Notamacropus eugenii: one gene and its partner. The protein of the gene in region 2 purifies or fractionates together with the protein of the main gene of each other region. This does not show direct contact. Links are inferred from orthologs where the notes say so. Each region holds a gene or a part of one and is shown on either strand. Other genes may lie near its edges. The genes, in order: SREBF1 and SCAP.

Region 1 (16,550 bases), on a different chromosome or scaffold from region 2:
ACCACATGTAGATAAGTAGGTATGTACAAGATACAAGATTCAATGAAATAACCTTAGAGGAGGAGGCATCAACAGCTGGATGGACTGGGAAAAGACTCCTGCAGAAGGCAACATTTGAGTTGAATCTTGAAGGAAACAACAGATTGTAAGGGAAGAGCATTCCAGACAGGAGTGATAGCCAGTGCAGAGAATGAGACAGGAGGTGAAACTTCAGGTATTAGGAATAACAAGTGGGTCAGTATGGTTTGATGATAGAGTACTTGAAGAGAAAGAATGTGCAAGATTAGAAAGACAGAAAGAACTAAGTTGTGAAAAGTGTTAAATGCCAAGCAGAAACTGATATTTGATCCTAGAGGTAATAGGGAGCCAGTGGAGTTTTTTGAGTGAGGGAGGTGATATTACTGTGGTCTAGGGATGTTGGGAACCCCAAAATTCAAAGGCAAATGATGTAGGTCCTGTCTTTGACCCAAGTCTTCTTTTAGTGAAATACAGGGTTTATTAAAACACCAGTTGGGGTGGGCAAGATCTTAAGAATCCTGCTATTGGCCAGATTTTAAAAATCTGAGCATTTGTATTACTCATGCAAGTAGGCCAGATTCTTAAGGAATCTGAGTACTTTAATGGAGTCAAGATGGACCTTTTATACAAGAAGACTGTGGGAACATGTGGATGTGATCTAGGAGTGGCCAAGTAGTCTTGGGGTGAACAGAGGGGGGGTCTAGATGGAATTAAGGGTGGGAAGTGGTCTGGGGCCTGCCTTTAGAGTTAGAGGTAACAGACCATGAAGGGCTGTACTAGGTTAGAGGTAACAGAAAATTGGAAATTGGGGCAGGGTCAAAGCCACAAAGCAAGCACAGTAGAAAGCATTATACTGTGATGGGCCATGCCCTCAGGGCCATGTTGGAAAATCCAGGGGCTTTTCCTTTTTGGGGTCCAGATCTCATCCCCATCAATATGATTGGACCTACATTTTAATAAAATCTCTTTGGTAGTTGTATAAAAGGTGGATTGGAATAGGGAAGAGATGTGAGGGAATGGAATTAATTAGAAGACTGTTGCAACAGTCCATGGGTGTTGGGAGCAGAGAAACTAAAAGGCCTAAAATTTGCCGTCCCTGTGCCAGCAGTGCCATAACTGCCCCTTACTGGGATGAGCTATCATTGGAGAGAAATTTGGAGTTGAGGGCCTAAAATAAGGTGGTAACCATGTGAGTACAGTGAAGAAGACATATCATCAGAGGTGTTGTGGAGATAGAAAATCAATCTTGGATATGTTGGGGTGACAGTGAGGAGATGAGGATGACAATATGAGTTTGAACCTGAGAGACATGGTACCATCTAGAGAAACAGCGAAGTTTGGATGTGTCCAATAATAGTATACCTTATCAAATTCTTTTTTTTCTTTCTTTCTTTGTTTAACTTTTAACATTCATTTTCACAAAATTTTGGGTTCCAAATTTTCTCCCCTTTTGTCCCCTCCCCCCACCCCAAAACACCGAGCCTTCTAATTGCCCCTATCTGCCAATCTGCCCTCTCTTCTATTAAAATTCTTTACTCAGATCTAAGGAACTTATTATGTCTGACAGTATTCCCCTGGTCTGCCAGTTTTAGTAGCCCCATCAGAGAAAGAAATGAATGGCCAAAGCAAGTTGGCCCTTTGTATTCACCGCTGCCTTTTCTATATGTTTTTCCTTTGACTATTTCTACAATGACTTATTCTAGAATTTCCCCAGGAATCTGTCACGTTCATTGACCTATAGATTTTAGACCCATTTCTTCCCTCTTTTTGAAAATCAGGACACATACCTTTCTCCATCCCTGGAGGTCCCGATCCCCAGTTTTCCAAGTACTGCTGACAATACCTTGGCAGGTGTTTTTTCCCCCCAGGCCCCAGGTCACACCGTTCATCTGGGCCCGGTGACTGGCAGCTCCTGCAACTTATGTAACATTCTGGGATTCTGCGGTGGGGAAGTGGATACAATACAGGCTTAAAGGTTACAATCTTGCCTCAGACACTCATCTAGCTACCGGAGGCTGGGCAAGTTACTTAACCCGTCTGCCTCGGTTTCCTTATCTGCAAAATGGGGATAAAAAGAGCACTGGGAACAAGGGAGTTATGCGCAGCGATGGAGACGCTGGCGCACCACATAAACGCAAGCTATTATTAGGAATGACGGCTGTTAGGATTCTCTGGGGAAATGATCCAGGCGAGGCCCGATAAGCCTCCCCGGGATGGGGGTGGGGCGGGGAGAGGGGCCAGCCCCTCCCAGGCCAGGTGCACTGCGGCCCCCAAGCCGGGCCACGCGTCGGACCGGGACAAGCCTGCCCTCTCTAGGGCGCGGGGGGCATGTGACCCAATGGCCGGCTTCCCGGGAGGATTACATGAGGTCACCGCCGCGCCGGGAGCCGTGATGCCGAATCACTCCACTGCGGCCCCGCACGCCTATTGGCTGCTCCTCCCTGGTTCTACGGGCGGGGATCCTCCCCCTCCCCCTCCTCCGGCGCTCGGGAACCAAACTTTGCCAGGAAAAAAAAGGTCTAGCCTCGAGCCCGCCCATTGGCTGGTGCGGCCGTAGCCCCGCCCCGCCCACACGAGGTTCGGCTTAGCCTGGCTCCGGGCGTCCCGGAAGGCTCTGGCTGGCAGTAGGTGTGGGAGGCTTCCTAGAAACCTCTATCTCCTCCTCCCTGCCCCCAGCTTCAGGACGTGGGACTCTGTAATTACCTCAGTAAACTCTCCACTCTCCCCCATGCGGGGAAGGAGTTGAACTCTCTCCTCACCCCAGATTTTGGAATCCCTGGCTTACCGCAGTGACCCACAGGGGCACCCCCTTCTGTATGGAACCTTTCCCGATGCTCCCGGCTGGGGCTGGATCTCCCCGAAGCCACCTTGAATTCATTAAGTCCCACCTAAAACCCCGCCTTCTATAGGAAGCCGTCCCCCGACCCCTTTCCATTTCCAGCCACCTCCCTCTTTTAATTGTCCTATCTGTCCTGTACATAGCTTGCTCCGGATGCTGTGTGGTCTCGGCCGTTAGATTGAGAGGGGAATGTTCTTCTTGCCTCTTTTGGTGTATAGCACCGTGCTTGGCTCAGAATAGGCGCTTAATAAATATATCGATATATTCTATATGTATGCTTCTATACGTACATGCTGTCTGCCTGGGTTAGAATCCCTAAACGAAGGTCCCCGGTATCCATAACACCACGTCATGCACAGGGTAGGCACTTAGTAAGTGCTGGGTTATTGAAAGCCCTCCCCATTTCCAAAGCACTCTTACGTCTCATTTGTCCCCCAAATCTCCATTACGCTCACTTTACAGATATGGAAACAAGCCCAGAGAGGAAAGTGACCAAGGTCAAACAGCACCCTGTGGTCCTCAACCTCTAGTTCGAATATCTTTTATGCTATGGGCGCTCTCTACGGGCCCCTGCCTCTTCTAGCTCACTCCCGGCTTGGAGGGAATAGGTACTTACTGACTGAGTCCTGCGTGGGAGCAGGGCTATATGGCAGTGTCCTTGGAACACCAAACATGTCCTTGGTTGCCCACAGCTAAGAAAGGTTGGGCACTTCTTACTTCAGTGTTTCCCTTCCCCACTCCTAGATGCTAGGGCCTCCTCTCCTCCCCTCCCTTCTTCTCTGCTCTCCTCTCTTTTCCTTCTCTCCTTCTCCTTTCTCTCTTCTCCACCCTTCTCTCCTCTCCTGTCCTCCTTTCTCCTCTTCTCCTCCCTTCTTCTTAGCTCTCCTCTCTTATTCTCTCCTCCCCTCCTTCCTTTTCCTCTTCTCTCTCTCCTTCTTTCTCTCTTCTCCTGTCCTCTAGTCTCTTCTGTTCGGGCTGCCAGTTAACCAGCCCTAGACCCTTGTACTTTGGATGTTTCCCAGATTTTAGGGGACATAATAGGGTGGGGTGGGGCTCTTAAGGGCTTCACCCTCACAAATATTTGATCAGACGATGGGAAGTAGGAAATTGCATCAGCCCTGATCTGGGCTGGGATGTATCTCTCTGAAGGATTTCAAAGTCTCTGCAAATCAGAGTATGTTCCATTGCCATCCCAGGGAGGTGAGAAAGCTGCTAAAAGACCTAAAGCCCGAGAACAAGAATACCCTTGGAGAAATTTAAATGGAGAAACGTCCTCTTCTGTTACTTTTCCTCCCTTTCAGTTGGAGAGGGAGGGAGGGAAAGGGAGAGTGAAGACCCTACACACCTCCTCATGCTCCACCCTGGTGCCAGGCATCCCTAGATTATTCCTATCTGAAAAAGGTCTGATGTAGTACAGGCTCAGTCTTGCTCCTCCTTCAAGGGTGTCTGCCTGTTGATCAGTGGGGGGAGGGGGGTGAAATAGATATTTAGTTGGTGAAGAGGTCCTTCCCAGCACTCCTCAAATAACACCTGTGTGTAAGGTGTCTCGGCTTAAAATGGGTGGTCTTCAAACAGAATTACATACTTCCACCATACTTCCCTACTCTGTGGCTGTCTCTAAGCAGAGTTATAGAGAGGGATGCTTCTTAGATCTTAAAATCTTCCTACCTTTTTCTTCTCCAAAGATACTCCTTGCTCATCCTGTCTCCCTCAACACTGCACATGCAGTCATCAGCTGTTTAAAAGTATAACACTATGTTGTTCAGTTGCTTCAGTCATGTCTGATTCTTTGTGACCCCATTTGGGGTTTTCTTGACAGAGCTACTGAAGTGATTGGCCAGTTCCTTCTCCAGCTCATTTTACAGATGAGGAAGCTAAGGCAAAAAGGTTTAAGTGACTTGCCCAGGGTCACACAACTAGTAAATATTTGAACTTGGGACTTCAGGCCAGTGCTCTATCCACTGGCCATCTAACTGCCCATATTTTAAAGTATAACACTTCCTGTAGAAGGAGGGACTTGAGAAAGTTAGTTCATATGTGGAACTTCAAAATTACAATCACATTATTTGATTAGCTTGGCACGGATTTAAAGCATTAAATCTCTTCCAAATTCTTCCTGCTGTCACCGCCCTTACAATAAGAAGACTTTACCTTCTGCTCCAACCACTGTCCTTTCTTGCCTCTTCAGCCTACTGTCTCTCGAAGGGCCGTGCTGTTTCCTCTCAGATCTTCACAACTCTGGAGTAGCAGGGTCCATCGGTCAATCAATAAGCATTTATTAAGAGCCTACTATGTGCCAAGTCCTGTGCTAGACATCGGGGATTCAATGACAAAGCAAAACAGTCCTTTCAAGACCACTGCCTTTACCTTAGTTAGAAATAGCTATTTTCATAGTTATCTGAACTCTGACTTGACTGGTATCTCCAGGATTCCATAAAGAAATTCTCTGACTAGCACCCTGAAGATGGGCCTTCCATCTTAATTGGCAAACCCTGGTGGCTATTGTTATTTCACTTTTCTAAACCTCCCATGGTCACTCATGAGCCTGCTGGACTGGATGTTAGCTAAGATTCCTTTCAGAACTAAGATTCTACTCAAAATCCAAGTTTGCTTCACAACTAAACACCATCTGGGTGAAATGACTGGTTTAATGTTATAAATTTATTCTGTTATCATCATTACCATATCCATATGGTTTTCTACTCTGATTCTGAGGGAGGTAATAGTTTGCTATAGTTGGTCAGATGGGATTACTGTCGTAGCCCTTTTGAATTGGCAGCCAAGTCAGAATCTGTTAGGAATTTGGCTCTAACATCAACAACAGAAATAAGTGAATACATGCTAACAGTAAACCTAGGGATATGAACCAGCATTGGGGGCATTTAATTGTCTTTTGGGAGGTAAAAGGGTGACGATATATTGTCTGCTTTAGTTTTTTTCTGTAATGAACACTAAAAAAAATTTTCGTATCCAAAGTAGAACAGGAAAAGAATACCTGTAAGAACATGAATCTATTACACACACACACTAAATTCAGCATGTTATTTTCAAAGCTGTCCTGCTTACCTCTTGTTTCTTTCTGAACTGCCTTTTAGGTACTTCTTTGCATTTAAAAAAAAATGCTTCAATGAACCTCTTTCCTTTCCTTTTTTTTTTTAGGAATAATATTACCAGATCCCTTTTTTCCTACCTAAATCTCCCCTCTCAAAAAAAAAAAAAAAAGGAAAACATAATCCTTGTAACAAATAAGCATGTGACTACATATTTTCAAAAATATGTTCCACATTCCCTTGTCTGAAAGGCTACATAACCTGTTTTTTCAATAAGCTTGAGAGAGGCAATTTGTCTTTAAGAACAAGCACAGGTTCTGCTCATTTCACTTTGTATCAATTCATGTAAATCTTCCCAGATTTTCTGAAAGCATCTTGCTCTTCATTTTTTTTTTCTTTTTTGCAAGGCAATCAGGGTTAAGTGACTTGTTCAGGGTCACACTGCTAGTAAGTATCCAGTGTCTGAGGTCAAATTTGAACTCAGGTCTTCCCGACTCCAGGGAAAGTGCTCTAACCACTGTACTACCTAGCTGCCCTTCATCATTTCTTATAGCACAATAGTATTCCATCACAAAGACAGCTACCTGGCAAAATGGATACAACCATGGACCTGGAATCAGGAAGACCTGAATTCAAATCTGACCTTATACACTTAATAGCTGGGTGACTGGGGGCAAGTTCATTTAATGTTGTTTGCCCCAGTTTCCTCAGCTGTAAAATAAGTTGGAAAAGGAAATGGCAAACCACTCTGGTATCTTTGTTAAGAAAACCCCATATAAGGTCATGGAGAGTTGGACAAAGATGAAAAGACTGAATAACCACAAATTCTATCACAATCATATACCACAACTTGTTCAGTCATTCCCCAACTGTGAATGACAGCTATTCTCAGGAATACAATGGTCCCAAACAATTCTGAAGGCCTTATGATGTAAAATACTACCTGCCTCCAGGTAAGGATGGTGTATGAATGCAGATAGAAACATACTTTTTTTGGCTTTCTTTGTTATTCTTGTTTTTTTGATCTGTGTATCTTTGTTTTGCAAGACTACACATTTATAATCTATATCAAATCACAATTTGAAACTCAAAATTAAAAAAAATGTTGAAAATTTTTACTTAGATATAATTGAGAAAAAAATAAATTTAAATTAAATTTAAAATTCAAATAATTTTTTAAAAAGATAAGCACAGGGACTGAAATGTGAATGTCAGTAGACCTAGCTTCTATACTGACTTCCTGAAACTTTCCATGCTTTGGTTCCCTTGTCAAATAAATGGAAATAATATTCAATATCTCTCGCAGAAGGTTGCAGTGAGGACAAGGGACATGTTGGATGAAGGTGCTTTGAAACAATAAATGTTACGTATTACTGTATAGGAATCTGTGAACCAGATGGGAGCTCGGGCTGCCATTGATATATACCTCCTTTCTTTGGCCCAACAGGGATGAAAAATGCAATGTGTACTTATAACTGCTTGTCAGATGAAAACCAGATTATGTATAATGCCTTTCAACTCCTTCAGATCTACCCTTTCCCCAGACTGGGAGTGACGTGAGAAGAGCCCACCCATTTCAAGCTTTTCAATTAAATCACTCAAGATTTTTTTCCTACAGGGTTGAAGCCATCCAGACAAATGCTTCAGGACTTTTGGCCCACTAACTATTGATTATTAGCCCCGCTCTGGGTCCTGAAAGAAGGGAGGCTAGAACTTGTTTACATTTACCACAATCCAAATATCAACTAAGTATTTACTAGGTGACTGTATTCAGTACATCCTAGACTGATAGAAATGAAATGGTGACAAAAATGAAATAAAAGATAAAATCTGTCCCTCAAGAAACTTGCCAATTAGTTAAGAAGACATGCCCAGTAAAATGATACCTTATTAATACTTGAAAAGATCTATGATTTCTTTTGCATGAAACACAGACTCCACTAAGCCAGAGGCAGATGTTGGAATCCCTCTACACCTTTCATTAGATTTTGTGAGGAAAGAAACCTTCACTTGGTGGCCAGTCTTCTGTTGTGGACCCTCTCCAGATTTAACTAGGCTGGTCTTCCGGAGGCAGGCACGCAGTCTTTGGATCCCCCATCAACAAGGCCTACTTTGATAGTAGCTTGTCTGTTCCTCTGTGGTACCTAGAACCCAGAATCACTGACACACCAGGATGAGGCATTAAAATGAGACTTTACTGTAAGAATAAAACAATAAAAAGGTGAAGATGAACACAAGTGCAAAGTTTTATCCAAATCTGATAAAAAATCAAATGTTAACCTGTATCATAGAAGGAACCAATGCCAATCATTAAACATTTATGCCATGTGCCAGGAATTGTGCTAATCTATGGGAATACAAAAAAGCAGTAAAAGATAATCTCTGACCTCAAAGAACTTGCAGAATAATGTGGGAGGCAATATACAAACAAATATCTACAAAACCAGCTTTATCCAGGATAAGCAGGAAATAATTAACAGAAAGAAGGCACTAGAATTAAAAGGCAGTGGAGAGGGCTTCCAGTAAAACATAGGATTTTAGTTGGGACGTAAAGAAAGTCAAGGAGGTTAGTAGGTGGAATGGAGGAGGGAGAGGGTTCTAGGGCCTGGGCATCAACTATAGACGCAGCTGAGATAAAGATTTCACCCACTCCTTATTTTTTTTCTTTTTCTGAGACTATGTCTCCCTATCTGTCACCTAGGCTTCTGACCTGCAGGGAACCCTGGCCCAACCTTCTGCTGGACCCTCTTTAGGCAGCCTGATGCCACCCACCCTTCCTCTGGATTTAACCATATATGTTAGACACATTTTCTAATAGGCCTTAGACTCTACAGCAGCTCAGAACTCCCAAACCCAACTGATCCTTCAGTCGCAGCCTTCCCAGTGGTAGAGGATAGAGGCATGAACCTCCAAACCTGATCAACTTAGTTTTACAGATTAAGCACCTGAGGCCTGGAGTGAAGTGACTTGCCTAAAGTCAGACTGGTAGCAATTCTATTTCAAGCCCAGGCTCTGGGACTCCAATTCCTCTAAGACCAGAACCTAGTCATCCACCCCACCTCTTCTCCTGGCCTCCCCATCTGTGGTCACTTCCCTCCCTGGGTCTCACTTTACTCATGGAGAGGTTGGATTAGAGCAGGTTTTTTTTTTTGGTTTTTTGGCATTCTTAAAATTACTGAGGACCCCAAAGAACTTTTGTTTATGTGATTTATATCTTTTGATAGTTGCTGTACCAGAAATTAAAACTGAGAAAATCTAAATGTTTATTAATTAAAATAACAGGCCTATTACATGTTAACACAAATCACATTTGTTTTATGAAAAATAACTATATTTTTGAAAACAAAAATATTCCGTGAGAAGACTGGCATTATTTTACATATTTTTGCATATCTCTTTAAATTCTGGTTTAAATAGAAGACAGCTGGATTCTGATCTCCGCCTTGGCATGAATGAAGCATGTTGGTTTGTTCTTCACATATGAAGAAAATCTGGCCTCACACAGATAAGTAGCTGGAAAAGGCAAGTACATTGTAATAGACAAATAACTATGATTATGAAAATGGCTTTGAACTGGGGACTCCCAGGTAACTGTCTTCAGACCACACTTTGATAACCACTGGATCAGACCCCAAGTTAAAAGTAGGAACTGGCAGTGAAGGTGGGGCAGGAATATGGACAGAGTCTTGATCTGCCAGTCTGGATGGCATCAGCTCGGTTCCTTTCAACCAGGCTCCAGGTGACCTGCTCCACCTGGATTGGTATGGGGAAAGCTGGCTGATCTGGTCCCTGATTCAAAAGAGAATTTTTACGTCTGAGGACAGGCTAAGCGTCCAGGGAAGCTGCAAATACAGGGCGGTCACAGTCAGCCTGGCATCTCCATAAATTCGGGGACCGAGGGGTCTGTGCGCCAGGGCTTCCCTGAGGGGGAGGGTGCCAACCAGGCGAGCTGTCCCCCCGCGTCGGGGGCCCCCTCAAATCCTCCAGCAGACTTCGGCCTCGAACCCTGCGGAGTGGCTCCGCACTTGGCAGAGCTAGGTGCGCCCTATACCTGGTCGCTGCCCAGAGAGCCCCTCACCCCACGCTCCCCCCAGGTCCAGCCTCCCGGCTCCACGTGGTCCCCAGCAGCGGACTGGCGCTGCCCAGGCCTTAGGTAGCCCCGTTCCTCGGCTCCTTCCTCCGCTTCGGAGCGTCCCTAGAGGCTCCGAGTTCGGGATGGGGCTGTCACTCAAAAACTGAAGGGCGGGGGGGGGGGGGGGGGGGGGGGGGGCAGGATGGGGTGGGGTGGAAACACCCGGCGCCGATGCCCCGCCCCGCGCCCTCTCCCTCCCCTCCCCCTCCACGGGGCAGTTAAGCTACCAACTTTTAGCGGGTATGGCGCCGGGGGCGGGCGGGTGGCGACCCTGGCACTAACTTTGTTTCAGGAACTGGGCGAGGCCACCAGCCGCCGGCGGGCCTGGGCAGAGTTCGGGGCGTGCACGGTTAGTCCTCCGGAAAGCGCGCGGTCCATGGAGCAGAGCTAAGGGGAGGCTCAGGCAAAGGCGCGGTGCGTGGAGAGGAACGCCACCAGCCCGGAGGAGGCGTCTGGGGCCGGCGGGCGGGACGCGGCGGCGGCGGAGCTCCGGGCTCCCTCCGGCCGCCACCATGAACGACCTGTCCTTCGACGAGGCGGCCTTGGATCCCTCCCTGGCCCTGGGCGAGGCCAGCGACATCGACTCGGCTCTGCTCAGTGACATCGAAGGTGGGTCCCGGGGAGGGGCGCGTGGGAGCCCGGCCGGGAGGGTGGGGGGGGCGGTGATCGGGGCAGCCCTCCGGGATCCTCAGCCTGGCTGGGCTGGCCCCGGGCGTCGAGGGGGAGTGTGTATGCGTGCTTCCGCGCGTGTCTGCGGCTCGGGATTCCGCGTGTGGCTGTGGCGTGTGTCTGAATGTGTTCGTGCCTGTCCGCGGGCACCGAGTCCCAGGATGCGCGCACAGTTGGGGACTCGCCGTCTGGAGGCACCCGGGGAGACCCAGACCCTCCCCCCTCCCCGCCGCGGACCCCTTCCCCAGCAGCTGTCCGGCCCGGGGGGACTCGGTCCTCCCCCTAGAAGCGGCCACGCCTCTTCGGGCCGCGGAGGAGCGAGGGGCTCCCAAATGGTGCGGCCCCCAAGCCCCGCCCCCCCGAGGGCCCAGGAGCTCGTGACGTCAGCGTCAGCCAGAGAGGTTACCCCCGGTCATTCCCTCGGCCCGCCAGAGTTCACTGAGCTCTGCTGGAGCCTGCAGTGGGAGGGGAGGTGGGGGGGAAGGGGGAAGCGGGGGGAGAGGAGGGGGAGAAGGGAGCAGGAGACGGCCCTGCCCTCCGGCGCCCAACAACTCTGCCCTTAGGAAACCACCCAGAAAATATCCCAGAATCTAGCCTGGGGTTTTCTTAGCAAAAGCTAACCCGGGTGCTCTGACCCATCCACGTGGAGCTTCTGATAAGCCTGTGACTGGGAGAAGGAATTGGCCTTGAATTATCCGTTCATGCAGCCCTTTTAAGCTTTGTAAAGCACATTACTTAAACCTTCTTGTTTAAGTGTGTACAACCTGTAGTCGGTTGGTACTACAGGTATTGTGCTAATGGAGAAACTGAGGCCAGTGAGTCACGGTAGTGAGTGTAACAAGTGCGATTCTCAAACTCAGTTCTCCTAACTCCAAGTGCAGGGCTCTTTCTTACTCTGTATCAAAATGCTTGTTTTACAAGGTAGACCGCCTTCTGTGGGCAGTAGGAAATCCATCTTTCTATCAGTCCCTTTTATAGAGAAATCTTGCTCTGAAGGGGGGATATTTACCCCTAGAATCTTTCCTGACAGAAAACTGTACTTTTTCCTTCTCAGGGCCAGAATTATTTTTCATAAATTGAGGGATTGAGGCACTGATTAGTGAAGTAGGAATGGGGTAGATTAGAGTATATTAGTGAGAGATCGCTTTCTTTTCCAGAAGATTCATTCATTCAACAATAAACTTTTTATGTAAGGTCTACTGTTAGATAATAGTGTGTACAGAGCATTCTGCTGATGGGAGTGGGGGCTGCAGGGAAGGGACAGAGAGAGACAGAAAGTTTAGATGAACATTGATAGCTAGCTGCTAGGTCTGGAGTCAGGAGGACCTGAGTTCAAATGTGAACTCAGACAGTTATTAGCTGTGCGATGCTGGGTAACCCTATTTGCCTCAGTTTCTGCAATCTGTAAAGTGGAGCTGGAGAAGGAAATGGCAAACTACTCCAGGATCTTTGCCAAGAAAAGCAATGGGATCATGAATGGTAGGACACACCTGAACTGCAAGGATAGCTAGCAGTTATATGGGCTTTAAGATTTGCAAACCTGTTTACAAATATCACCTCATTTTATCCCCACTATAATCCAGGGAGATAGGTACTATTATCATCATTTTACAAATGAGGAGACTGAGGCAAAAAGGTTTAGTGGCTTGCCCAAGGTTACCTAGATGATAAGTAAGAGACCTTTCTTGACATTGCATGGATCCCAGTGGAACAAAAAGGCTTCCCATTGATTATTCAAATAATAATATCCAATCTTACAATCTAAATAACTTTTCCTGTTCCAGTGTATACTCTGCATAGCTGCCAAATGGATATTCCCAAAACCTAGGTCTGACCATGTCACTGCTGTACTCCTGTAGAGCACCTTATCACCTCCAAGATTAAATAAAAACGTCATGTAAAGGTCTTTTCAATTTGGTACCTTCCTGCCTTTCCAGCATTCTTCACATTACTCCCCTCCACAAACTGTATTTTCCAGCTTCCTCACACATGACACTGTATCCACCACCCGGTGCCTGGAAAGCCCTCCCTCCTCCCCTTCAGTTCTTAGCATTACTGTCTTCCATTAGGTCTTGGCTCAGATCATGTCATCTCAGCCTCTAGAGCTGTTCCCTCTAATCCCTCATGGACTCTATGTAGCATGTCTTTCCACATTTATGTATGTATCATTACCCTCGTTCAAATGTAACCTCCTTAAGGACAAAGACTGTTTTTGCCTTCTCTTTGTATCTCTGGATAATATTTGTAAAGCACTTAACCACAGTGCCTGGCACATTGTAACAGGTAAATACAATCTTGTGTATTGCTGGACTGATTGATGAGGGTGAAAGAAAAGTGTAGATGAAGTACTATTAGACCTCAAAGTACAGTCAAGGTGTCACTTTCATTTGGGCATGAAGAGTTGAGTTGAACTTTAAAGAAAGAGAGGAATTAAGTGGACAGTTTGGGGTTGGAAAAAAACTCCCACCCATGCATGGAGACTACCTTGAACAAAGGAGATTGAGGTCAAGGAGGAAGGAAATCAGCATTTATTAAGTGCCCATTAACTAATTAATTAATGTGCCTAGCATTGTGCTAAGTACTTTACAAATAGCATCTGCATATAACGTAATGTATATAATATATGTTTGCATATGATATAAATAATGCTCATTTAATGCTCACTACCATCCTGGGGAGTTAGATGAGGAAGCTGGAGGCAGGTAGAGTGACTTGCCCAGGGTCACACAGCTAGTGTCTGAGGCTGGATTTGAATTTAGGAAGATGAATCTAACTGATTCCCAGCCCTGTGCTCTATCCATTGCATCCCCTAGGTGCCCTAAGAATATGATAGCACTGGTGATAGTTTGGAGAGGGGATCAACTGAAAACAGGAGTAATTGAGAGGCTGTTGCAATAATCTAGGTAAGAAGAGGTGACCACTTGGCCTGCGGTGGGTGACTGTGATATTGGAGAGGTGGAGCCAGATGGCGAGAGAAGTTTCTAGAAGGCAAAATGGATCAGACTTGTCACCTGATCTTAGGGATCTGAGCCATCAACTGGCCAACCCCCATATTTTACGAAGGAGGAAATGGAGGTCCAGAGGCCTCATGACTTTCCTGAGATCACACATTTAGTAAGTTAGCAGAGCTAAGGTTTGAACCCAGGATTCTTGACTCCAAAAATGGTACTTTTCCTGCTACTCCAAAAGGGAGGGAGAATGAAGGAAAGAGAAGAGTCCAACATGACTGCTAAGTTATGACTCCAGGTGGCAGGAAGGTGATGTCATCAGCAGAATTGGGACCAAAGCTGACTGGAGGAGAAGGATGAGTTCAGTTTGCTGAGGTCCCAGGTAACAGTGCTGGAAGGTCAGTGACAACTGGAGTTCGAAATACATTTGTATTGCTTCCTTGATTGATTGATGCGAGATTTATTTGCATAGAGTTTAAAGTTGAAACTGTGGAGTGGATTCTCTGGGGGAGAATCTGGAGAGGGAAGGACTGAGGGCCTAGTGCTGCTAACATTTAAGGAGGAGCTGGCAAAAGTTTCCTAGGAATGGTTAGGGAGGTTTGTTTGGGAAGAACTCAGCTTCTCTGGAATCCAGGTGGGAGGAGAGGATATTTAAAAGGAGGGAATGGTCTACTCTGGTCCAGGATAAGGAGGGGGAAAAATGCCTTTGGATTTATGGATAAGGAGGATGTTGAATGACCTTGGAGGGAAGAGCTTCTTCACCATGGTGGGAATGACTTCAGATTGCTAAGGGGTTTAGGTATGAGTGGGTGGAGAGAAAGGGAAAGCAGGAGAATGGATAACTCCTTTAGGTCTCAGAGGAGGGAAACAGAAAGATAGCCTGAGAGAGTGACAAGTTCCCAGGAAGGGCCCTGGGTGAACCAAATGGAGGAGAGTTGGGTGTGACATGGAAGTAGGCTACTGGAAGGACTGGTGATGGGGGTCGAACTCTTATTTCACTCACTAAATAAGATATAGATGGAGTTTTTATAACTCAGACTTTCTTAAATGTGCAGAAGACACTTGATATTTGAAGGAATCTTGGGTGAGATAGTTTGAAAGTGAGGAGAAAACAAAAAAGTGAAAAGGGGAGAAGAAAGTAAAGAGTATTGAGTTCTAGAGGTTATCTACACCAAGGTTTCTCGGTGACCTCAGGTCCCATGGGTTCCCTTATTCCCATACCCCTATGTCCAATCTCTGTACTAGTCCTACATCACCTATGGAGCATTTCCCTTTGAATAACATGGAGACATGTTCAATTCAGACTGTTCAAAGAGAACTCATTATTTTCCTAAAATTCTATTTTTCTATAAAAGGGTACCACTCTCCTTGATCTGGCCCCTGAGGCCATAAGCCTTTCATTTTAGCTTTGTCCAGTTGCCCCCGGCTGTTTCCCACCCTTGATCCTTTCAAAATATATATGCCCAAATTTGTTATCCTTAAGCTAACCTAGCCCTCCTTTGTTTCCATCCAGACCCTACCTAAACCCCTTCTCCTTTCACCCCAGACTGTTTGGCCACCCCTAGATCTCTCCCACAGTCTTTTAGTATATAGGATCCTTCTTATCTACCTGCAGGCACTCAGATTCCATCTAGCTCAGATTCAGTCTTGCTGGTTTGTCAATACAAGCATCACAAATGGTGAGGCTTCTTAAACCTCTTCTTCTACCCAGTATGGTGGATCTTTAATAAAACTTTGTTTTATTTTGGCTGAAAGAAGGCTTGGGTGGAATTCATTTGGCAGGACCTGGGGTGTTGGTATTTTGGGGTTCTGAGCATCTCTAAACCCCTAACCTCAAAACCTCCATTCTTCTAGTCCCCCAGGTTCACAAGGTTAGCATTATCCTCCATGTCTCTATCTCATTCACTCCACATATCCTATCCATTGCTACATCTTGACTTTTCTGCTTCCACAACTTGGCTCGATTAGATCCACTTCTTTATAGTCATGCAGCCAGTATCTTCTTTCAAGCTCCCATCCAGTGCTGTGCAAAAGCCAGCTCTGATGGCTGGTGAGAGCTGACTGGTACATTTTCAGTGTGAGCATTTACACTTTGGAATGCTATAAATAAGTAAATTCTATAAATATAATAAATTGAAAATTAGGGTATTCTTCCTGTTATATAAAAAATAAGTATAATAAATAATATGCATATAAATGGTATAATAATAAATATAAGTAAATGCTATAAATCAGGGCATGATTGTTTTGACGAGTGTCTTGATTGAAGAAAGTGATGGAAAAAACATTAATAATGCAGATTAAACTAAAAAATATGTCATGTGTAACATTTATCAGTATACTCCTGATTTTCTGGGCTATTGAAATGACTCCCTAATTGTGTTTCCTGGACAGAGGACCTGGGCCTGGGGTCAGGAAGACCTGAATTCAGATTTGGCTTCAGATACTTACTAGCTGTATGACTCTGGACAAGTCACTTAACCTCTCTTGCCTTCTTTAAAATAGAGATAATAATGACACTTTCCTCCCAAGGTCCTAGTGTGGATTAAATAAATCCATTTTTGTAAAGCATTTTGCAAACTTTGAAGTGGTATATAAATGCTAAATGTTACTAAAATTGTTTCTCCCTTTTTCTCTTAAGCGCAGGTCTGAACCATGTCATTCCTCTACTCAGTAAACTCCAGGGGCTTTCTGTTGCCTTGGGTATATATAATGTGGACTCCTCCTTTTGGCTTTTAAAAGCCCTTTACAGCCTGGCTCCAACTTGTCTTAACAGCCTTGTTCCACATTATTCTGTGGTCCTGCCAAACTGGCCTTCTTCCTCTTAGTCACATGACAGTCCTATCTCCTGAGCCTTTTCACTGGCCCTCCTCTGTTCTTGAAATGTCCTCCCT
Region 2 (15,954 bases):
AGTGTTACCTTGACAACTCAGTTTCTCCATTTGTAAAATGGAGCACTGGGTAGGACCCTTAGATTTTAGTGAATCCAACTCAATTCAATAAGCACTTACTAAGCATCTTCTGAGTCCAAAGTATCGTGCTTGGTTCTGGGGATACAAATACACACACAAAAGACCCATTCCTGAGCTCCAAGACCTCCCATTCATCGTCTAGGAGAATATAACACGTAAGTACATGATAATCTGGGGAAGGAGAGAGCACTGACCTTTGGAGGGATCAGTTTCATAAGACAAGGAGCATCTGGGTTAAGCCTTGAAGCAAGGCAAGGATTCTGAGGGGTGGAGTTTCAGGCATGTGTGACGGCTGCTTGTGTGAAGGGAAATGTGTGAAGGGAAAAACAACTAAAAAAACAACAGATGAACCTCTAAAAAACTCTGTGGCGGCTGAAGTTTGAGTCCCCCAAACAGCCAGTGGTGTGGTTTGGTTAAAATGTAGACCAGGGGCAGGGAACCTGTTCTCAAGGCCACACGTAGACCATACAGGGAACACGACGAAGTGAGGCTGGAAAGGCAGGCAGGAGACAAGAGTGTGGAATGGCACGCCAAGGCATCTGTTTTGTGCTGGGAGCAAGGAGCTACAGAAGTCTGTTAAGGAAGGAGGGTCATGGTAAGATCTTTATCCTAGGAGAATTTTGGCAGCTGCGGAGAGAGTAGGGAAATGACAGGTGACCAGTCTGGAGGCTATTACAGACATGCAGGTAGAAAGCTATTGGGGTCAGAACAAAACGTAGCTACTGGAGTAGAAATAAAGGGACAGATGAGAGCAATATTGTGGAGGAACTATTTTGGGAAGAGTTAGTAACTAATTAGATTATGGTGAGCAGGTGAGGCAAGGGTCAAGGATGGCTCTGAGGCTGGGAATCTGGGAGGATGGTCACATTCACTTATATCGCTTAGTGCCTCAGTTTTCTCACCTGTGAAATGTGTGGATTAAATTTGGTGGTCTCTAGGTGGCACAGTGGATAGAGTCCTGGGCCTGGAGTCAGGAAGATCTTCCTGGGTTCAATTCTGGCCTCAGACACTTAGTTTCTTCATCTGTAAAATGAGCTGGAGAAGGAATGGTGACTCACTCCAACATCTTTGCCAGGAAAACCCCCCAATGGGGCCATGAAGAGTCAGACATGACTGAAATGACTGATCAATAACAAGGTCCCTTCCAGCTCTGCTCATTTATGATCCTCCCTCCCCTTCTCTCTATACATGTACATTTATACATACAGGAGGAGGGAGGAGAAGGAAGGGGAAACAGACTTGTTGCTATGGAAAGAAGGGCTCAGTTTGAATCCCAGCTTTGCCACAAACTATAGGTTACCCCTTCTGGCCCTCAGTTTCCTCCTCTGTAACTGCTTTGGAACTTCTCCATCATGTCCCAGGGTCAATCCTGGGAAATCTTGTCATCTTGCAGGATCAAGTCGGCCTTGGTCCTCACATCTCATCAGTATGCTCTTCCCCTCACATGATGAGCTCCAAAGTCTCGGTTTAAGGAGGCATCTCCCAATTTCCCACTGGCTGCACTGCTTCTGGACTTCTCCAGAATGCTTTCCTCCCTTCCCCTTTCCTTCTTCCCTACCTTTTCTGTGTTGTCATTCCTATTGGACTGGAAGCTCCTGGAGGACAGGGACCATCTTCCTTTTATTTATATCTGTAGCCTTAGCACTTAGCGCAGTGCTTGGCACATAATAAATGTATACGGACATACATTTGTGTGTGCCTACGTACATACACAGACACAGACTTGTTTCAGTGCTTAGAAAAGGTTGTGTCTAGTCATTGCTTCTACCTTCTCCGCAGTCACACCCTCTTCAACCCTTTCTCTATCATCTACCTCATCACTCATCTGAAATGGCTTTCCTCAGAATTTCCAGTCATCTCTTACTTGCCAAATGTCTTTTCTCAGCCCTCCCCACTTTTTCTTCCCCAATGGTCTCTCCTCTTTGGGTTTTCAGGACACTGCTCTCTCAATCTTCCTTCTGTCTGTCAGACTGCTCCACCTCAGACTTTTTTGCTGATTCATCATCCACAACCACACCCAACTGTGGCTATGTCTTGAATTTTCTTGTCTGTCTGTTTCACCCTCCCTCCCTCTCTTCATCATCTCCCAGAGATTTAATTGTCATTCTTTATGTAGGCGAATCACAGATCTTGACTGATCGATCATTTGATCGATCTATCTACCAATCTCCAGTCCTACTCTCTTTCCCGAGTTCCAGTACTGCATCACCTCTTGCCTTTGGGACATTTCTAACTGAATGTCCCAGGGACATCTCAAACTAGACAAGCCCCAAACAGAATTCAACATCTTCTCTCCAAAACTTACCCCTGTTTCTGGTGAGGCACCATCATTCTTCCAGTCTCTAAGTCTCCTATAACCTCCTAGTCCTCTTTGACTGTTTATTCTCCCTCACAACCAAATATCCAAATCCATCACCGAGTACAACCATTTCTACCTACACCACCTCTCTTCATTTGACCTCTTCTCTTCATACATACATCCACCATTCTAGTTCAGGCTGGCCTCCATTCTATCTCCACTTGGACCCATTCTCCACAGAGCAGCTCTGACTGTGTGATCTTCCTACTCAATAAATTCCCTACTGTCCCCAGATAAAATATTAACTCTTCTGGCTTTTAAAGGTGGTCACAAGCTGTTCCTAATTTGTCTTTCCAGCATCATTCTGCATCACTCTCCTCCTCACACTGGAGAGCCTTTTTCCTCATACACACCTACTTCATCTTCCCTCTTCGTGCCTTTGCACTGGCTGACCTCTTGGGCTTGCTCCCTCACCTCTGATTCACAGAATCCCTCATTTCCTTCAAGATGCAGTTCAAGGAGGGGCAGCTAAGTGACACAAAGATACAGCACTGGCCCTGGAGTGAGGAGGACCTGGTTCAAATCTGACCTCAGACACTTATTAGCTCTGTGTGACTCTGAGGAAGTCACTTATCCCCAATTGCCTCAAAAAAAGAAAAAAAAAAGATATAATTCAAGTACTACCTTCTCTACGAAGCCCAACTGCTACTACCCTTATTCACTTCCTCCATTGTGCTCAACTGCCTTTTATTGATAAGAGAGTATCATATCGAGAGTAGGGATTGTTTCAGTCTTTGTGTTTCTATCTTCAGCACCTACCACAGTGCCTGGCACATAGGAACTGCTCAAAAATGCTTGTTGATTGATTTTGTAAATGGTTCAGTGATCTTATCAATAGGGAAAATCCCTCCACTAATGCAAATTGCAACACATCTGGCCTTCTTTTCTTGTGTGACTCTTGTTCATACTCTCCAGCGAATTCTCCACAGTGAATACACCGAGTGTTCTGGGACCCTTTCTCTAGGTCTTAATATTATTTGAGTCCCACTAAAACCTGTGACCTTTCCCTTTTGAACTTGTAAGAATCTTATCTTTTTTCTCTCTGAATCCCATGACTCAACCATACATTTGTTGACTTTTTCATATTTAGCTATTTCCCTGGGTTTCTGGACTATCCACCTGTTACCCTTTCCTCTAAATACACCTTTTTTTCTGGTCTATCTCTGTGAGGATCTCTCCTACACTGCCTCCTAAGCATGACTCTTTATTGGTTACACATAGCAGCAGCTGCATACAAGCCCAATGTCTTTCTTCTTGGGTGACCTTTAATTTTTAGTCTTTGGAAATCATGATAGGTCATGATTTGTAATCTTTACTAAAGAATACTGGTGTTAAAAAGATGAGTTTGTTTTATGGAAAAACTTCTAGTTGTTTAAAACACTGCACAATCTTCCAAATACAATCTAGTCCACTCTCTTCCTCCAGTTTAATTATGGACCCGGTTCATTTTCCATCTGCCATATTTGTGAAAGTACCTACAAAACATCCTGCTTCTGTGTCCTATCTGTTGCTGGGAAAGACTGTCCATTCTTTATGTAATCCCTCCCTGAATCTCCCTTTTGTGGTTTTCAAGTAGAAACTGCTCCTGCCTGTCCTAGGCATGGGTTCCTTTGTACTTTGTACTGGGGTTCCTCAACACTAGTGTCTGATTTTCCTCCTAATAAAATGTTTGTGTCTTCAGCTCAGCTTGGACTCCTCTGTACTTTGAGGGGGGGCTTTGCCTGGCTGACATATCTGTCCAAGAAATGGACCTACTCTAAGGGCTGTCCTTCCAATTTCTATTGTAATTTAGATAATATACTATCATCCACTTGGTTTTTCCCGAGTAAATTGTTAGTCCATGTTCTTTTGGGTGATTATGAGTTTCACTGGAGAACTTCTGCAGTCTTTCAGGCCCTGATGTAATCAGTGTAATTACTTGCATAAACAAGAGTTCCCTTACAGGAAAATTCCTCTTCAATTTGGACTCCGTACTGGATACCCCCTGCTGTGATGGACAGCCGGCATCCCCATGTGGCTCAGTGACAGCAGGGAAAAAGAAAGACACATAGGCAGGCAGGAGAGGACAGGACAACTCCATTTATTGATAGGAGGGTCAGGGTATTCAGAGACAGAAACTGCAAGTCTACGACAATTTACTCCTCTCCTGTCCTGTCCTAGTAATTTGGCCAGTCTTATTGTCTTAAAGAATGTTAGCTTAAAGGGCATCTATTTTACATATCCCTTGTATTCTGTAGTATTTTGTAGTTCTCTTGTTTATCTCTTGGAGATAGCAACTGGGGGTGGGGGGGTGGGGGGAAGCGGCCCTGGAGAGTCATTCTGGATGGTCATGAGCACAGTCTCAAAGAACAGGTTTCCCGAAGTTCTATCCTGACCTTGCCAACAGCACTCCATCCTAGCCCTCAACACCCTGTGCTACTGGTTAAAAAAAACAAAAAAACAAAACAAAACAAGACAAAACTTTGGACAAGAAAACATTTTCCTGCTTATTTCACATGATTTTAAAAATCAGAGGACTGTTGAACAGTTCTTTCCCCTGTGGTGTCGCTTCAGGGCCACATATGATCCTGACATCTTTGTACGCTTAGTCTAGCTCAGCATTTTTTCTCTCTTTCTTTTCTTTAGAGATCCTGTCTCACATTATTCAGTGAGTCTAAATGTTGTAGCTCCACTGTTTTTGTTGGAGGAAAGGGTTTGTTATAGAAAAACTGTCTGACCTTTAGCAGCTTTCATCGGTCTTACTTGATATTTCATCCTCTACGCTTGTAGGATTAATTAACAAACATGTCTGCTCCTTCATCCATGTCTCACATGATGAAGGGACCTTGCTCCTTCCTTACCAAGGCTAACCAGTTCAAGTGATCCCATTCCATTCCATCTCCTCCAACAGACTGCCCCCTCTGTCATCCTCACTCTTGCACTTATTTTCAACCTTTCCTTCTCTCCTGGCTCATTTCCCACTGCCCATACACATGCTCATGTTTCCCACTGAGCCTGAAAAAAACCTCCCTTGACTTTTCCATCCCTTCCATCATCCTCTTCTGCCCTTAAATGCCTCAAGCCTACAGTAGGTGCCTTCACTTTCTCTCCTCACACTCTTCTTAACCCCTTACAATCTGGCCATTCTGCAGAAGCTACTCTCTCCAAAAATGATCTCTTAGTTGCCAACTCCAGTGGCCCTTTCTCAGTCCTCATTCTCCTTGACCTCTCTGCAGCCTTTGACACTGTTGATCCCCCTCTCCTCCTTGGTTTTCAGGCCGTCACTCTCTCCTGGTTCTCCTACCTGTTTGACTGATCCTCCTCTGGGTTACACCCTCTAATAGGAGATGTCCCTCAAGGTTCTGTCCTGGACTCCCTTCTCTTCTCCCTCTATGCTACTTCACTTGGTGATCTCCTCAGCTCCCATGGATTTCACTGCCATTTCTATGCTGATGCTTCCCAAATCTGCGTTTCTTGACTGAATCTCTCTCCTAATCTCCACCTGCCTTTCAGACATCTAGAACCAGATGTCCAGTAGACATCTTAAATTTACTATGTCCAAAACAGAACTCCTTATCCTTCCCCCCAATACCTGCCCTTAGAGGGCAACACCATCCTCCCTTGGGCTCACAACCCAAGAGTCATCCTAGGGTCCTTTCTCTTAGCCCCCATGTTCAAGCTGTTGCCAAAACCTGTAGATTTCACCTTTGCAACATCTCTCCAATATGCCTCCTTCTCTTCTCTGATACTGAGACGGACCCTGTTGTAGGCCATGAGGCCTGGACTGTTGTAGTAGCCTGTTGGGTGTGTGTCTACCTGCCTCAAGACTCTCCCCACTCCATCTATTCTCCATTCAGTCATGAAAGTGATTTTTCCTATAACACAGGTCCAAACAGTGCTCCCCTCCTTCCCCCATGGCTCTCTATTGTCTGCAGGAGCAAATACAAAATGCTTTGTTTGGCATTCAGAGCCCTTTATAACCCAGCTCTCGTTTCCCTTCCCAGTCTTTTTATACTGCACTCCCTAACACAACAACCAACAACAACTCTTCAGTCCAGTGACACTGGCCTCCTGGAACAAGACCTTTCATCCTTGGCTCTGGGCACCCCCTCTAATAGTCCCCTGGGCCTGGAACGCTCCTCTTCCTCTACTCTGACTACAGACCTCTCTGACTTCCTTGAAGTCCCAACTAAAATCCCATCTCTTGTAGGAAGCCTTCTCCAGCTTCTCTTAATTCTAATTCCTTCCCTCATCCTGCATATAATCTGCTTTGTATGCATTGGTTTGCATGTCGTCTCCCCCACTAGATGGTAAGCTTCCTGAGGGCAGATATCAGAGAGTGGTGAATGGTGTGTGTGTGGGGGGGGAGAAATAATGCCTACCATATTATGAAATCATATTAAAGTTAAACTAATTAAAATAAGGACCCTTGAGAGAGTGCTTCCTCTGTGCCAGGCACTGCGCTAAGGGTTTTCGGACGATGATCTCATCAGACCCTCTTAATAATCAGCCCGGAAGAGGCCTATGCGGGTGCAAATACAGTCTATGCACCGCACCATACCAAGAAGCAGGTGGGTGCGTGGAGCTTCCCTGCAGGTGCGCTCTCCCCCTCGGCTCCCGCAGGTGCGCTCTCCACCCTCGGCTCCCGCAGGTGCGCTCTCCGCCTCCAATGCAGCAGGTGCGCTCTCCCCCTCGGCTCCCGCAGGTGCGCTCTCCCCCTCGGCTCCCGCAGGTGAGCTCTCCGCCTCCAATGCAGCAGGTGCGCTCTCCCCCTCGGCTCCCGCAGGTGAGCTCTCCGCCTCCAATGCAGCAGGTGAGCTCTCCCCCTCGGCTCCCGCAGGTGAGCTCTCCGCCTCCAATGCAGCAGGTGAGCTCTCCCCCTCGGCTCCCGCAGGTGCGCTCTCCCCCTCGGCTCCCGCAGGTGAGCTCTCCGCCTCCAATGCAGCAGGTGCGCTCTCCCCCTCGGCTCCCGCAGGTGAGCTCTCCGCCTCCAATGCAGCAGGTGCGCTCTCCCCCTCGGCTCCCGCAGGTGAGCTCTCCGCCTCCAATGCAGCAGGTGAGCTCTCCCCCTCGGCTCCCGCAGGTGCGCTCTCCGCCTCCAATGCAGCAGGTGAGCTCCCCGCCTCGGCTCCGCAGACCGGCCTCATCAGGTGCATCAGTCCCACGGAGCCGCCGGTCTACACTGCACACACACACTTACCTGTCAGGACACACGCACGATCCACATCGAGGGGACACACACCGATTTATCCAGAGCCCGCCTGCGCTACGCACGTTACAGACACCCGGAGCTGGGGGCTGTGAGCGTCTCCCCTCCACGCTGAGAACAACGAGGCCGCTGGGTCACTTGAGTGACTTGCCCAGGGTCACTCACCGCTCTGACCGCTGCAGGTCTTCCCCGCCCGCCCCACGTCTTAGCCGGGATTCTGGGCGGGAGCTGCAGGTACGCACCAACGCGCCAGGGGGCGCGCGCGAGCCGCCGGGACCACACTTCCAGCCCCGCCCACCTCCCAGGCCCTCCCGAAGCCCTCCGCCTCCCGACTCGTGGGCCCGCGCGTGCGCACGAGCGAGCGACCGCGGGGCCGGGGAGAGGGCGGGGCTGGGGAGAGGGCGGGGCTAGAGGCGCTGCGGAAGCGTGCGGAAGCACGTGCGTGGGCTGGGAAGCGGAGGAGAGAGGAGACTGGGGCGGGGTCGAGGGAGAGTGGGCGGGACGGGAGGAGGGGAAAGGTAGGAGGTGAGAGGTGAAGTGGGAGGAGAGCGGAGTGGAGCCTGGGAGCCGCGGTCCGAGCGGAGGGCGTCCCTCGCGTCCCTCCCTCCGCGCCCGGGGCCGAGCCCAGGCCCTCCCGCGGCCCGCGAGCCGCCGCCGCCGCAGGTAACGTGGCTGCCTCCGCCGGGCTCTAGGCCGCGCGTGGCCCCCCGCCTCCCTCCGCCCCGCGCCGCGGCCCACCTGTGGTGCCGGCCCTTCGCCCCCCACCTGCCTGCCCTCCGAGGGCCCGCCCGGGCGGCCGCGCTCCCCCGCGGCTGGCCCCGGCCGGGCTCCGGGGAGCGGGAAAGGGCGGCGGCGAGCGGCTTCCCGACTGCTCTGCGGCAGCTTCCTCCCCGCCCCCCCCGCTTCCCGGGCACCGAGGCGGGGGACGCGGCATCTTCTTGTCTCCGTGGGAATGCCGGAGCCAAACTTGAGTCGTGTGCGTGAGTGCGCACGCGCGCGTTCGGATGCGTGTTTGCGCGCGCTTCTGTGCGTGTGCACGCGCGGGGGGAGCGCTTCCCGGGCCCCCGAAGCCGCAGGGGGTCCGACGGGCCTCTTCCGGGGGGCTTCGGCCCTCTCTGCCCCCTGGTGTTCAGGCGTCTGGTCCTCTGTGGCACCCCCAGAGTGACGGGCTGGCCCTGGCCGTCATGGGGCCTCCCGCACCGCGCCCGCAGCCACCGCGGCACTCACCGAGAAGCCCTGGGCGCGGGCCCTGACCTCGCGGGGGATGCCCCCCAGAGCAGCGGGAGCCCGGCCCGCCCCCGCCCCCCCGGAGCTCCTGCCCTGTGCCCGGTCACCGGAGGAGGCTGCCCGGTGCCAGCGGCGGCAGGCCGGCGGGGGCGTGGGCATGGGCTCGGGGCTGGGCTCCTCCGAGAACATCCCGCCGAGGTTCTGTTTGTCGTTGTTGTCGCGGGGGGCGCCGTGTTCACGGGTACGTTGCGGGTCAGCGTTAGCGCAGGAAGGGGTGCGGGGCTTTAAGGTTGGACCCCTGGGGTGCAGAGGGTGAACCGAGGCCTGAGTCGCGGAGTCCGGGCCGGTCCGGCCGGGTCTCAGGACCCTCAGAACAGCCTGTCTTCTGTCACCCTTTTAATTGCGTGGGGGTTCCACGGTACTTGCACCGCGCCGCTTTGTGACTAAGTAAACGAGAAAGGAGCCTTGGTGTGGCGAGTGGGGACCCAGAGGCGCAGACTGTGGCGTGCCTGAGGTTATCGATAAGTTGTGGGGATGGGACTTGAACCACACCCGGCATGCTTGAGGCATTGATAAGCCAGGGTTTTCAGTGCTTGGTAAAGCTCTAGGTGGCCATCCCTCTGTGCTTCGTCTTTGAACAAGCGCATTTGTAGCAGTCGTTGGCGGCAGCGGGAGGTCTAGGATTGGTGCCCTGTCTACGGGGTGACCGCTGCAGCGTGCCCTTGCTGACGGGCATCGCCCGCTTGTCTGCTGCTCTGCCCCTCGGTCATGGTTGGAGCCGGGGGAGGGGCTTAGAAGGGTCAGAGGAGGAGACTGAGGTCCGGAGGGACCGCCGCGCAGGGACCAGGGACCGAGCCCTCCGGGCCTTACCGCTTCAGGGCCCTGGAGAACAGAACCCAGAACGACCCAATCCTGGTGCGCGCCTTAGTTGTTCCTTTGTCCGAGGAGGTGCTTGTGGAAGCCGCAGGTTGGTAGGACAGGAGACGGTGCCCAGAGAAGGCAAGTCAGCAGCGGGGGGACCAGGAGGCAGGGCGGCCGTCCGACCTGCCCTGCCGTGAGGACGCTTTACACGCGTGTGTTTGGGGGCTGTGGATCCTCGCTGCTCTAAACCTGGGCGTCTGTCCGTGGGCCGCTTGTCCGGCCCTGTGGCTTGTACTGTGAGTTTTCCATGTTCAGGCTCAGCAGGTAGGTAGCCCCCTGAGGACAAGGAGGGTGTTTTGTCATTTAATGCACAGGCGCATTAAGTACCTGGCCGGCACTCGTCAGGTGCGCATCAGAAAGGGAGCCAGTACTCCGTTGAGGCACGGTGCATACCTGAGAACATGCAAAAGAGAGACTAAAGAATTGCAAGACAATTTGGGGAGCGAGGATACGATGGGCTTGGGGAATTAGGAAAAGCTTCATGTAGACAGTGGCGCTTGAGCTGAGTTTTGAATGAAACGTGGGATTTAGATGTGGTGGAAGGAGTGAGAGGAGTGAGAGAACAGCGTGAAGGCCCGTTTGGCCTGGTTTTAGAATGTGGAAAGGGGAATAACGTGTAATAATGTAGTAAAGTTGGCCAGCTTGAAATGCTAAAGGAAGAGTTTTATCCTAGCAGCAATAGGGGGCCTCTGGAGTTGGAGTTTATTGAGTAAGGGAATGACCAAGTAAAAGCTGCCCTTTGGAAAAGTCTCCCTAGGCAGATCTGTGTAGCATTCATTGGAGAGGGGAGAGACTTAGAGAGACAACTAAGAGGCTGTGGGAGTGGCTGAGATGACGATGGCCTGAACAAGGGTGGTGGCCGTGTGCATAGAGAGGATTTGGGTGTGAGAGATATTGTGGAGGTAAAAATGACAAGATATGGCAGATGAATGTTTTTATTGGAAGGATGGTGGTGCCCTCTACAGGAACAGGAAAATTCTGAAGGGCTCCTAGGGGAGATAGGAAGTTCAGGTTTGGACTTGTTGACTTTGAGATGGGATTAGAACTCAAGAAAGAGACTAAGACTGAACATATAAATCTGTGAGATATCTGCATATGTCTGATAATTAAACCTTGGGAACTTAAGAGGTCACCAAATGAGAGAGCAGGGTGAGTGTAGATCCTTTGTAGACATCCACAGTTAGGGAATTGATCCAGATAATGAACCAAAGAGACTCAGAAGGGGGAGTCAGACAACCAGGAGATAACCAATGACATGAAAACTCAAAGAAAGAGAATTTATTTACTTTTTATTTTATTAAAAAAATTTTTGTGTAAAGAGGTTCCCTTCTCTTTTTATTTTTTTGTTTTAGTTTTCAACATTCACTTTTGTAAGATTTTGAGTTCCGTATTTTTCCCTTCCCCAAAAGGGCGAGTAATCTTATATGGACTATACACGTATAATCATATTAAATATATTTCCATATTAGTCAAGTTGTGAAAGAAGAATCAGAGCAAAAAGAAAAAACCAAGAGAAAGAAAAGACAAAGAAAAGAGTATGCTTTGATTTATACATTCCGATTTCATTCATAGTTCTTTGTGGAAGTGGATAACATTTTCCATCATGAGTCTTGGAATTGTCTTAGATCGTTGTTTTGCTGAGAAAGAGCTAAGTCTGTCAAAGTTGGTCATGGCACAGCATTGCTGTGTATGATATTCTCATGGTTTTGCTCATTTCACTCAGCATTAGTTCATGTAAGTCTTTGCAGGTTTTTCTGAAGTTGCCTGCTCATTATTCCTTATGGAATAATAGCATTCCGTTACATTTGTATACCACAACAGCCATTCCCCAGTTGATGGGCACCCCTCAATTTCCAATTTTTTGCCACCTCGAAAAGAGCTATTATAAATATTTTTGTATATGTGGGTACTTTTCCTTTTTTTTTTTTTTCTGATTTCTTTAGGGTACAGACCTAGCAATGATATTACCAGATCAAAGGGTATGCACAGTTTTATAGTCCTTTGGGAACAGTTTCAGATTCCTCCCCTGAATGATTGAATCAGTTCACAACTCCATCAGCAATGCATTAGTGTTCCAGTTTGAGGTACAGAGGATGATTGGTGGTTTTAAGCGCTCCAGGTGAATCAAGAAGGATGAGGATTGAGGAAAGGCCATCAGATTTGTCAAGGAAGAGAAGACTGATAACTTTGGAGATAGAAGTTTTGGTTGGGTAATGAGATAGGAAGCCAGATTGCAAAGGTTTAAAAAGTGAAATGAGAGAAGAGACAAGAAATAAAGAAAAATTTTAACAGATGTTGATAATTTACAGAACCTGAGTTAGAGGGAACCTCGGATGTCATATAGAACACAACCGATGAATGAATGAGAAGCTTCTTTAGATGAGCCTTAGGAGTAGGCATGTAGGCTGTTTTAGGACTTACAGTGGAGAATTTGCTGTTTCTCAAAGGAGGCAACCAATTTCACTTCTGTACAATTCTAATTTTTAGATGGAACATTTATTAAGAGCTTACTCTGTGCCATACATTTCCTTTTTTTCCCCCAAAATTTGTTAATTTGTTTTCAGTTTTCAACAATCACTTCCATTTCCTTTTTTGTAGAGTTAAAATCATCCTTTGCAACTTCCACACATTGCTTCCATTTCTGCCTGCTAGTGCCAAGTAAGCCCAATTCTTCTGCCACCTAAGTGGTCTTTTCTGCTGGTTAAGGTACGCCTAGTTCCTTAAACCCCTCATATGAGGTGCTTTCCAATTCCCCGACCATTCTGGTTGCCATTTTCCGAACCTACTGGCCTTAAAATTTGTACTTAAAAGTAGACATGATTCTTTAGATTGGGTGACTACCGGGAAGCTTGTCCTTCCCAAAGACTCCTCCTAAAAGAATTCATTTAAGTTTCTACTGATTTATGACAGGCTGATACGATAATCCATATTAATTTTCATTCTCTTCTCTGTCTTTCTAATATAAGACAGGAAACACTAATGAACAAAGAATACCAGCATGCCATGATAAGTAACAGAAGGAAGTACTGAGTACCTGCAGAAGTGGATGGAATTAAGTAATTAATTACATACATTTAAAGTTTTAAATAGCATTTTGGGGGTGTGAAGGGGAAGGGCCAAGGGAGATGATGGCATTTCTGGAGTTGCTGAGGTGAATGAAGAGAAATTTGCTAGGCTAGGAGGAAGACAGTATTAGCATTGGGTACAGCTTAAAAGGAGACTTGACCAGCATATAGGGCTCTGAAGCAAGTTAATTTGTTAGAAGTGATGAGCACAGGAAGAGGGAAGATATATAGCCTAGGATGTAGTGAGACAGGACATTTACATTTGGTGACTTTAAAATTAATCCATGGTTCAGGTCCCAGATCCCAGCCCCTCTCTTACTTCTACTGGTAAGTACATACTTCTGTGATGGAATTAAAGAACATAAACTCTCCTTTTTAAGAAAGACCTTATAACACAATTCAGACCTAAAAGTAACAAACTTGAACAAACCAGTTGCTACACAGAGTGCAGGCCAGGCGAAGCCATTGATCAACAGTTTCTCTCAGATCCTGATAGGATCTCCAGGACCTTGAACTCAAGAGCTTTGGCAACAGTAGGGTCTCCCAGGCTACTAAACTGCTTCTGTTCCAGCCCAGCCCCTACAGTCATCATTGAGGGGAGAAACCATTGTGAAGAAAGAGCTCATCTTCCTTATCCACACCAGCAACAGTTGCCAGCTAATTGCCACCAGTAGGCAGATGATCACATCACTCTCCGTGCTACTGGTCCTGCTTTCAGTCCAGCCCTCACAGCCATCATCTTAGGAAGCAGTTCCTGTGGAAAGGGGGCCAGCTATCCCTACCACCTGCCAACCAACTACTCCCATAGGGCAGGCTGGCCAGCCCAGCTGAAGCAGTAAGCAGAGTGCCCTGGGGAAGTGATAGGGGGCAGCATGTTTCAGGCAGGGCAGGCTTCCACCACCACCATTTAGACCTCCCTCTCCTCTCAGATCCTGGATGGAGACAAATCAAGACCCTGAACCCAAGAGCCTAGGGAATGGTAGTGCTTGAAGCTCCCCATTTGAACTGTTCTCCTGGGAAGCATCCCTGTGTAGGTTGCCACCTGGTAACTGCTCTTGAAGGAGCAGCAGCCACTAAAGGCCTTGGCCCTGTCAAAGGGTTCAGCCTCAGAGATGGATATGATTTGTCAGGCACCCTAAGGATAACAAGAACATTGCATCTTATTTGCAGGTGAAGCTTTCAATGTGTGTTGTCTACCCCATTAGAATGTGAGCTCTTTGGGAGCAGGGCCTGTCTTTTCTATTTGTATTTCCAGTGCATAGCACAGGGTTTTGCACATAGTAAGCATTGTATCATTATTTTATTCTGACTAGGGATTACTTCACAACTGTATACCATGACTGGACAATGGATTTGGTAGAAAAGGGATATGCTGAACCTTGTGCTGATTCAGTTCGATTTCTATTTGGTAGAATCCATATTTTTTAAGTTGGAGTTTAGTCTTACCATCAATATATTTTGGTTTGGTTTCTTTTTCTCTGAATCTCTATACCTTTTATAGATGTAGAGAACTTCCATTGAAAAAATTCCTAACTATAAGTCAGCAACTTTGAGACAGTTGGCTGGGCACTGACAGGTTACATTACTTGCCATGAATCACGTCCCAAGTTTGTGCTAGTGTTGGTGTGTGATCAAGTTTTTCTGACTGCAGAGGCAGCCCTCTTTCCAGTATAACATGCTGCTCCTCAAAACCTGAACTATGTAGTGATTCGAATTATTAGATTAGTGTTACATTAGTTATTAGACTAGTATTAAGACTTTAACATCCAAACTCTTGGATTTTTTTCCTTTTCAGGAATTTAGGATGCTTGATCAAGTAATATGGAAAGGTCCATATGACATTATGGTCCTTAAATCATACTGATAATGAGTCAAATTTTTTAAGTAAGAGAAGTTTTACAGCCATGATCCTTCACTCAAGACTGTATTTTCTCTGGATTATAGTGATGGCAGGTGTCTGAGATTTCTGGAAAACTAAGGAGACTGTAAGCTGCTAATTGAATATTTTAAATGGCAAAGAAAAGTTTTTAAAATTAGATTTTCCAGTAATTGTTTTATTTTAAAAGAATGGGTACAGTACTTTATGAGTATAGTTATTTTACTCAGCACATGCATGAGTAAGTACTAAATGCATTTTTTAAAATACAAATTTATTGATCCCCTGTCAGCCAATTTGCTAGAAAGAACCTGAGTTTTGGTTCTGGCTTTTCCACTTGTGCCTTGACTCCTGTCCTTTTCAAAGATAAATGAGATCCATTCTGAGAAGCATTTTGGAGCTCTTTAGGAAAATATATTTAATTTCAGTAGAGTATTTGTCATACTGTCACAAGAGACTCTGGCATATTAGTGACTTTTCTGTTCCATTAATTTTATTTTACTTCTAAAACATTACTTAAAAAATTTTTTTTTTTTAAATCTGGGTTCCACATTCTCTCCCTCTCTCCCTTCCCCTATCCACTGAGAGAAAGCAAACAATATGAAATCAATTCTGTATGTTAAATCATACAAAACATTTACATATTATCCAGATCATTAAAAAAATAAAGCAAGAAAGTTATGCTTCAGTTTGCGCATAGAGTTCTTCAGTTCTTTCTCTCTGGAGATAAGCATTTCTTCATCATGAGTCCTTTGGAATTGTATTGGACCACTATATTGATCAGAGTAGCCAAGTCTTTCATGGTTCATCATCATTACAACATTGCTGTTACTTTGCTCAGTGATCTCTCAGTTCTTCTCACTTCACTTTTCATCAGTTCGTATAGGTCTTGACGTGTTCCTTCTGAAACCATCCTGCTTTTCATTTCTTACTGCACAAGAGTTCTCCATCACAATCAATATATATATGAATTTTTTCAGTCATTCCCCAATTGAACATCCCCTTGATTTTTTATTCTTTGCCAGCACAAAAAGAGCTGCTATATTTTTCTGTACATGTAGATCTTTTTCTTTGACCTCTTTGGAGCACAGACCTAGTAGTAGCATTGCTGGATACAAAGGTTATGCACAGTTTTATAGTCATTTGGACATAGTTCCAAATTGTTCTCCTGAGTGGTTGGATCAGTTCACTACTCTGCCAACAGTTCATTGATGTAGCTGTTTTTCCTCATCCCCTCCAGCATTTATCATTTCTAATA

Evidence for each region.
Region 1: the proteins of SCAP (region 2) and SREBF1 purify together in Homo sapiens (affinity purification with western blotting; 4 studies listed by BioGRID and IntAct, with this or other methods). This does not show direct contact. The link is inferred for Notamacropus eugenii from reciprocal best matches to the Homo sapiens genes SCAP and SREBF1.

The regions. Positions count from the first base shown.
Region 1 is NC_092874.1:335,019,768-335,036,317, reverse strand, and holds the start of SREBF1 (sterol regulatory element-binding protein 1), read left to right. Parts: upstream 1-10,226; 5' UTR 10,227-10,551; coding exon 10,552-10,648; intron 10,649-16,550.
Region 2 is NC_092872.1:12,531,529-12,547,482, reverse strand, and holds the start of SCAP (sterol regulatory element-binding protein cleavage-activating protein), read left to right. Parts: upstream 1-8,127; 5' UTR 8,128-8,270; intron 8,271-9,057; exon of another isoform or gene 9,058-9,075; intron 9,076-15,954. UniProt on the Homo sapiens protein: Escort protein required for cholesterol as well as lipid homeostasis.